2 linked regions of the Macaca fascicularis genome follow. The protein of the gene in region 1 purifies or fractionates together with the protein of each later gene. This does not show direct contact. Links are inferred from orthologs where the notes say so. Each region holds a gene or a part of one and is shown on either strand. Other genes may lie near its edges.

Region 1 (3,643 bases):
CTAAATCATGAAAACAATTCTGTAAAAACAAAGTCTGTTCTGAGTTTTAAGAGTTCAGAGCTCAAGTGCACGAGGAGATGCGATTTATTACTAACAGTTTAAAGGTAATGTGATCACATAATAAAACTCAGGGCACGCCCCTTTGGGTGAAAGGTCAGCATGGGAGGGGGCCCTCCCTGCTCCAGGACTTCAGAGAGGGGAGCTGGTCCTCACGGTCCCCTCCCACTCCGCAGGCAGCCCTGTGCCAGCCAGAGCAGCCTCAAGGACATCAACTGGGACAGCTCGCAGTGGCAGCCACTGATCCAGGACCGCTGCTTCCTGTCCTGGCTGGTCAAGATCCCCTCCGAGCAGGAGCAGCTGCGGGCGCGCCAGATCACGGCACAGCAGATCAACAAGCTGGAGGAGCTATGGAAGGTGGGGCTGCCCAGCAGGCTGACCCGTGCCTTCGTGTGGTTTCTGGTTGCGGGGAGGGGAGTATCTTCAGAGACGGCTTGACCCAGTGAGACCGCTGGAGATTTTCTGGAAGGAACTCAGGCCTCTGCCACCTCTATGTAGAGTGACCCCAGGGCAGGGCACCTTGGTCACCTTCCATCCAGGCAGCCTTACCTGACCAAGAAGAGCCTGACCTTGGGGAAAGGAAAGCTCTGGCTGCTGGAATTTTTCTTGTCTGATGGGGGGTGGTAGGGGAAGGATGGGGCTGGTTGTAGGTAGACTTGTCTGGCAGAGCCTGGACCTGCACAGACAGGTGCACTGCGAGAGTGTCCTGGGGAAAGAGGTTGGGGTCGAGGTTGGCACAGTCAGCTGAGCAGAGGGGAGAGGAGAGGGTGCTGGGTCAAGTAGTGGGTGCCTGGCCTCCCTCAACAGACAGCCCTCACTTTTCCCCACGGAAGCCTTTCTCTGGTTCCGGCTGTTTAGGATTTTGTGATAAAGTCATTCTAGTAACTAGACTAGAAGCTTCCATTTGCCTCCCATTCAATCAGAAATCTCACATAGGAACTGAAGTACAAGTTAAAATGTTTTTTAAGCCGGGCGTGGTGGCTCACGCCTGTAATCCCAGCACTTTGGGAGGCTAAGGTGGGCGGATCACGAGGTCAGGAGATCGAGACCATCCTGGCTAACATGGTGAAACCCCATCTCTACTAAAAATACAAAAAATTAGCAGGGCGTGGTGGTGGGCGCCTGTAGTCCCAGCTACTCGGAGGCTGAGGCAGGAGAATGGCGTGAACCCGGGAGGCGGAGCTTGCAGTGAGCCAAGATCGCGCCATTGCACTCCAGCCTGGGCGACGAAGCAAGACTCCGTCTCAAAAAAAAAAAGTATTTTTTAAGCATTGTTCAGCCGAGTACCTTTCCACTTGGATTTTCAGTTTGCCAGATGATTTTCATGATTCCCGTTTATATCTGAACAGTCCAGATAATGTCCTGTCCCCACCAGCATGGCACTCACTGAGGGAGCTGGCCCCCAGGGGAAGAGCTGCGGGCCCATGTTGGTTCTGGCTTAGGGTTAGCAGACGTGGGAGACGGGCTTCCCGGGCTGTGGACACAGTGAGAGAAACCGGTGGTCTTTGTGGCAGCCTGCGAGGAGGGTTAGCTGCTCTCGTTCACAAGCCGGGCGTGCTTGGAGGAAGCAGGCAGCTTTGAAGGTGCCCTCTGCTGTGGACAGTGTGTCAGGCTGGTGCCTGGGGCTCTGTAGGCAGGTTCACCCAAGTACCGGAACCCTGCTGGGGTGAGGAGCAGCAGCTGAGGCCCAAGCACGGGCTAGGCCGGTGTGCAGCTCCCAGTGTGGCATGGAGTTCCTGTTCCCAGGGTTTTCCTTGCAGATGCACCAGAACCCCTCCATGCCACCCACTGTGGCCCATTCTCAGAAGCGGCATGTGTGCTCCATCCCTCTGGTGCCTCTGCACCCTCGTTCGTTTGCATGTAGGGAAAAACAGGACGAGTGTTGTTGTCTTCTAGGAAAACCCTTCTGCCACGCTGGAGGACCTGGAGAAGCCGGGGGTGGACGAGGAACCGCAGCACGTCCTCCTGCGGTATGAGGACGCCTACCAGTACCAGAACATATTCGGGCCCCTGGTCAAGCTGGAGGCCGACTATGACAAGAAGCTGAAGGAGTCCCAGGTGATGTGTGCAGGAGGGCTTGGCCTGGGCTGGGCTCTGACTCTCACAGCTCTCTTCCTCAGGCTTCCAAAGGGAGGTTTTCTCTCTAGGCTGTGGGAGCTGACGTGGGCTGCAGCTGCAACACCTGAGAGTTGGAGCTTGTGGATCCAGGCCTGGCAGCCTGGTGGTCTGGGCCCCCGCCCTCAGAGCTGACATCAGCCTCAGTGTTTTCTATTTAAATCCAACACATCTTTCCCAGTGGGGTCCACAGCTTTGCCCACAGCTGCAGGAGTTAGACTCGGGCGTGATCCCTGTGAAGACCACATTTAGGCAACGGGAGCCCCGGAGTTCTGACCTCCCCTCCCTCCCTCCCCTCCTCTCTCTCTCCCTCCCTCCCGCAGCAGCTGCTCCCTGGCCACGGAGGCCTCTGGTGTGTGGTGAAGCCTCCAGACGGGATCGGCCTGTGTGTGTTCTGGGGACTCCTAATGGCTTCTCTTTCAGATATGCCCTTGGTGGCATTTGGGGCTGTCAGGTGCCGCTCACGGCGCCCGCTGTCACGGCAGAGGCTTGCTGTAGGGCCCGCCTCATGGGGCCTGGGGCATGTGGAGGCCAGGCCCGGGCATGTGCTGGAGGCTAACCGGGGCTCTTGTTTTTCATGTGCTCAGACTCAAGATAACATCACGGTCAGGTGGGACCTGGGCCTTAACAAGAAGAGAATCGCCTACTTCACTTTGCCCAAGACTGACTCTGGTAATGAGGATTTAGTCATAATTTGGTTAAGAGGTGATTTTAAGTTTTAAAATATTTGTGACCATAAGTAGCATAAAATTCCTAGTTCCACCCTTGTAAAGTGCCCCTTAATTTGAACTCTTCCTGGTGGAAGTGACGGCGCAGGTTAAAATGGCCACCTCTCTCACTTTCTTACCGCAAGACATGCGGCTCATGCAGGGGGATGAGATATGCCTGCGGTACAAAGGGGACCTTGCGCCCCTGTGGAAAGGGATCGGCCACGTCATCAAGGTCCCTGATAGTATCCTTCATGTGAAGAGGGTGGGGTTGGCTGGTGGGAGAGGAAAGTGGTGGGGCATCAGATGGAGGCCACCGTGGATTTGATGCTCGTCGCTGGGCCAGCATCTTGTGCTCTGTGGTAGTTGCTGGCTGGCACTGGCCTCCACTGCTCTTAGGAGAATTGCAGGGCCTTCACCTTCTGGGACAGCTGGTTGTATGGTTGCTTCCCCTCTGCCCGAATGGTGGTGATATTGGTGATGCTGCTTGTGTGACGCGTCCCTGGGCTGACTCTGGAGGTTAATGTGGCTGCAGGAGCGCCTTACCTGGATGCTGACTCTGCACACGGAGGTTCCAGAAGCCAGTGGTCACATGCAGACCCTGTGAGCACTCACTTGCTCCCAGGCCACGTTTGGGAATGTGCAGTAACCTCATGGTGACGTAGCCTGCAGGCCACAGTGGAGCAGCTGTAAGGCACAGGTGCAATCAGAGGCCTGGGGCGGGGAGGGGTCCTCGGAGAAGACACCACGGGTCCGACTCGGGC
Region 2 (4,135 bases), on another chromosome or scaffold:
CCTGTAATCTCAGCTACTTGGGAGGCTAAGGCAGGAGAATCACTTGAACCCAGGAGGTGGAGGTTGCGGTGAACTGAGAACCAGCCGTTGCACTCTAGCCTGGGCAACAAGAGCAAAACTCTGTCTCAAAAAAAAAAAAAAAGACTGGGGGTAGGAATCAGAGACTGCTGTCCCGACTTACAGAATCTTATACTGTTCTAGTTGCCAGGCCCCAAGAATGATGTCATCTCAGCACTGTCTCTAGAACCATTCATTCTCTCTAAGTGTGGAACTTAGACGAGTGAGAGCAGGCTCCTATTAAATAATTATGATCTTGATTGCTCTGGCCCTACTCAACTGTAAATTTTTTCCAGAGCCAGAATGGCTTCACAGAGGACAACTTTGCTCTGAAAAGAGTCTCTTTGGTCAGTGGTCCTCAACTGAGAGCTTTACAAAGAGTACCAATGCCCAGTTCCAGCGCTGGAGATTTTAATTGGCTTGGGGTAGAGCCCTGGCATCAGTATTTTTAGAGGCTCCCCAGGTAATTCCAATGTGCAGCCAGGCTGAGAATCACTGCTCGGTAAGTGGGATGACTGGGGAGTGGGAGATCAAATACTCTAACTTCTCACAGCACCTATTCTAGAGATCAGTGGGGCAGAAAGATAGAAATAAAAGGTGGAAAAGGACGAAATGGGTAAGTGTGGGTGAACTAGTTCCAGGGAAACGGCAATCTCCACTGTGGATTCAGGGAAGGCGTCACTGAGGAGGGCTTTCTTAACAGTTCAGGTCAACGGAAGCCATCTTGAGGCACACACATCGTGCGCGGCATCCTCCGGGAAGGTCGGGTCATTTCACCCCATTTTACTGCCGAGATGACCTAGGTCCAGAGACGGTAAAGAGCGGTGTACGACTCACACAAGTCGGGGGTCCTGTGAACTGAGGTTGAGCCTGGCGGGGGCAAGGCTCGGGGTGTTCGGTCCGAGATCTTTAAGCGAAGTCACCAGACCCCGCGTTCAAAGCCCAGAGGTAGGCAGGCGGCTGGCTCTCGGCCTCAGGCCGGGAGAGAACCCAGCGGGTACCAACCTCAACCTCGCTCCCGCGTCCAAGTGGAGAAGCGGAGCTGGTTGGCCCCGCCTCCGGGTTAAACAAAGTTCGTTACCTCCTAGGCGTGAGAGGGTGTGGCAGTCTTGTTGTCACTTCCGGGCGAATAGGTTAGCTAGAAGGAACCCCTCCATTACGCGACGGCGTAATCTGACGTCACTTCCGCGCGCCGCCGCAAACGTCAGTGTCGGGCGCAGACCGCAGCAGTGCGGCTTGCTGTTGGAAGTTCAGGCTCGGTTGTCTTTTGGGAGCCATGGAGAGTGACTTTTATCTGCGTTACTACGTGGGGCACAAGGGCAAATTCGGCCACGAGTTCCTGGAGTTTGAGTTCCGACCGGATGGTAAAAGCAGCCTGCCGCCCGCCCGGAGCGGGACCAGGCCTTGGGGCGGGCGAGTGGGGAGGCCGAGGGTCGGAAATCTGTGGGGAACTAGAGGAGGAAGGGGCTGAGACCTGTGCAGTGCGGATCTGAAAGGAGCGCCACTGTGTCTGCTCCACGGCGTCGTTTTATCCATACAACAAACGTTGGCTGAACGCCCACTGTGTGCCAGGCTCTGTTCCACTCTTTGGGGATACGACAGCGAAGATAGACAAACTTCCTCTCTCGTGGAACTTGTGTTTTACTGCTGGGAGAGAGATCATAAAAAGATGATTCCGGATAGCAGTGAGTGGTCAGAAAATATGGTAGAATCGCTGGATGGGCTGCTTTTAGATAGGTTGGCCATTAGAGAGCTCTAATGGTATATTGCAGCTGAGCCCTAATTAGCAAGAAGGACCCAGCCTTGTGAAGCTCACAAGGAAGACCATTCTACCCAAAGGGAATACCAGAAGTCAAGGCTGCAGGGCGGGAATGAGCTTAGGCATGTCTCAGGTGGTCAGTGTGATTGAAGAGTGGTGAGCTGGGAGATGGCAGGAGATGATGTCGGATAGGTAGTAGGAGCCGCACCTTGTAGATCTTTATAGACCAGGGTAAAGAGTTTGGACTTGGAAGGCTTTTTTAATTTTATTTATTTTTTTTTTTGAGACGGGTTTCGCTCTTTTTGCCCAGGCTGTAATGCTATGGCGCGATTTCGGATCATTGCAACCTCCGCCTCCCGAGTTAAAGCGATTCTCCTGCCTCAGCCTCCCGAGTAGCTGGTATTACAGACACCCACCACCACGCCCGGCTAATTTTGTATTTTTAGTAGAGACAGGGTTTCACCAGGTTGGCCAGGCTGGTCTCGAACTTCTGACCTCGGGCGATCCGCCGGCCTCGGTGTCCCAAAGTGCTGCGATTACAGGCGTGAGCCACCGCGCCTGGCCGGGCTTGGAAGGTTTTAAGCAGAGAAGAAATGTGATCTGTTCTTGAAAAAGCATTCTGGTTATTGGGTGCGGAATGGGCAACAGTGAAAACAGGGCTATTGATTAGGAGACTGTTGTCAAGACAAGAAAGATGTTGGGGGCCAGTCGCAGTGGCTCACGCCTGTAATCCCAGGACTTTGGGAGGCCGAGGTGTGCGGATAACTTGAGGTTAGGAGTTCGAGACCAGCCTGGCCAACATGGTGAAACCCCGCCTCTACTAAAAATACAAAAATTAGCCGGACGTGGTGGCAGATGCCTGTAATCCCAGCTGTTCGGGAGGCTGAGACAGGATAATCGCTTGAACCTGGGGCGGAGGTTGCAGTGAGCTGAGATAGTGCCAGTGTACTCCAGTCTGGGTGACAGAGCGAGACTGTGTCACAAAAAAAAAAAAAAAAAAGATGTCGGTTGGGACTACAGAGATAGTAGAAATGGAGAGAAAGATTTAGGAAACTGTTGGAGGCAGAATCAACTGGACTTTGATCGTTGATAGGATTTTTTTGGCGGAGGCACTGTGGTGAAGGAAAGAGGAATCAAAGATGACAGAAAACATCCATTAAGCGGGCCACAAAGATGTATCTGACAGGCCCCGACTGTGAGGGAGATGGATTTGTAAGCAGGGACCAAACAGCGTATTAGGTGTTGTGGTAAAAAGAAACAGAGGAGACTTGCAGCAGAGAAGGGGCACCTAGCCAAGCCTGAGGGTCAGAGGAGGCTTCCTACATAAAATGATGGGAGGAGGGGATGTGAGGTATTGATTAGGAGACCAAGAAGAGTCAAGAAGGCATTTTAGACAGCATGCAAAGAGGCTGAAAACCAAAAAGTGCTTGGGATGTTTCAGGCAGAAACCAAGTTGTTCGACTCCAGCTGTGTGAGAGAAGAATATTGCAGGAGTGAGGCTGGAAAAGCAGGCAGGGGCTTTGCTTAGCCGTATGCCATGTTGAGGAGTTTGGATTTTTTTTTTTTTTTTTTGAGATGGAGTCTTGCTCAGTTGCCCAGGCTGGAGTGCAGTGGCGCGATCTGGGTTCACTACAAGCTCCGCCTCCCGGGTTCACGCTATTCTCCTGCCTCAGCCTCCTAGGTAGCTGGGACTACAGGCGCCCGCCACCACGCCTGGCTAATTTTTTACATTTTTAGTAGAGACGGGGTTTCACCGTGTTAGCCAGGATGGTCTCGATCTCCTGACCTCGTGATCTGCCCGCCTCGGCCTCCCAAAGTGCTGGGATTACAGGCGTGAGCCACCGCGCCCGGCCGGATTTTAACCAGGAAGGCAGCGGAAAGCCATTGACTTTATCAAAGTATTAGAGTAACCTAATCTGATAGATCTGTTACCACATCACCTTGTCCACTATATGGACAGTGAACTGAATGTGAAGAAACTTGAGGCAGAGAGACAGCACAGAGACTGTTGGAATAAATTCACTGGGCTCATCTCACATGTATGTCTTCTAGTCTACATGTCTTCTGTTTCCTTCTATCTTCTCCTCATCCCCACCATGTATTCACATTAACCTGTTAGACGCACACATGGACAAAGGGTCTTGTGTACCAAATGTGCTCAGTGATAAAAGCAACAACTTTTCCATCACAGAAATAGAGTGTGGCACAGTCACATGATAATATATGTAAACAGCATCCTACAGTTTTCAAAATGTTTTCACAACTCATTTGAGCCTCAGGAGGTCCTATGTGCTGGTAAGTTATCATTTACTCTGCCTG

Evidence for each region.
Region 2: the proteins of UPF1 (region 1) and MAGOH purify together in Homo sapiens (affinity purification with western blotting; 3 studies listed by BioGRID and IntAct, with this or other methods). This does not show direct contact. The link is inferred for Macaca fascicularis from reciprocal best matches to the Homo sapiens genes UPF1 and MAGOH.

Annotation. Positions count from the first base shown.
Region 1 is NC_088393.1:19,255,528-19,259,170, forward strand, and holds part of UPF1 (regulator of nonsense transcripts 1), read left to right. Parts: intron 1-233; coding exon 234-414; intron 415-1,953; coding exon 1,954-2,115; intron 2,116-2,759; coding exon 2,760-2,877; intron 2,878-3,025; coding exon 3,026-3,124; intron 3,125-3,643. UniProt on the Homo sapiens protein: RNA-dependent helicase required for nonsense-mediated decay (NMD) of aberrant mRNAs containing premature stop codons and modulates the expression level of normal mRNAs.
Region 2 is NC_088375.1:181,434,292-181,438,426, forward strand, and holds the start of MAGOH (protein mago nashi homolog), read left to right. Parts: upstream 1-1,263; 5' UTR 1,264-1,333; coding exon 1,334-1,421; intron 1,422-4,135. UniProt on the Homo sapiens protein: Required for pre-mRNA splicing as component of the spliceosome. Plays a redundant role with MAGOHB as core component of the exon junction complex (EJC) and in the nonsense-mediated decay (NMD) pathway.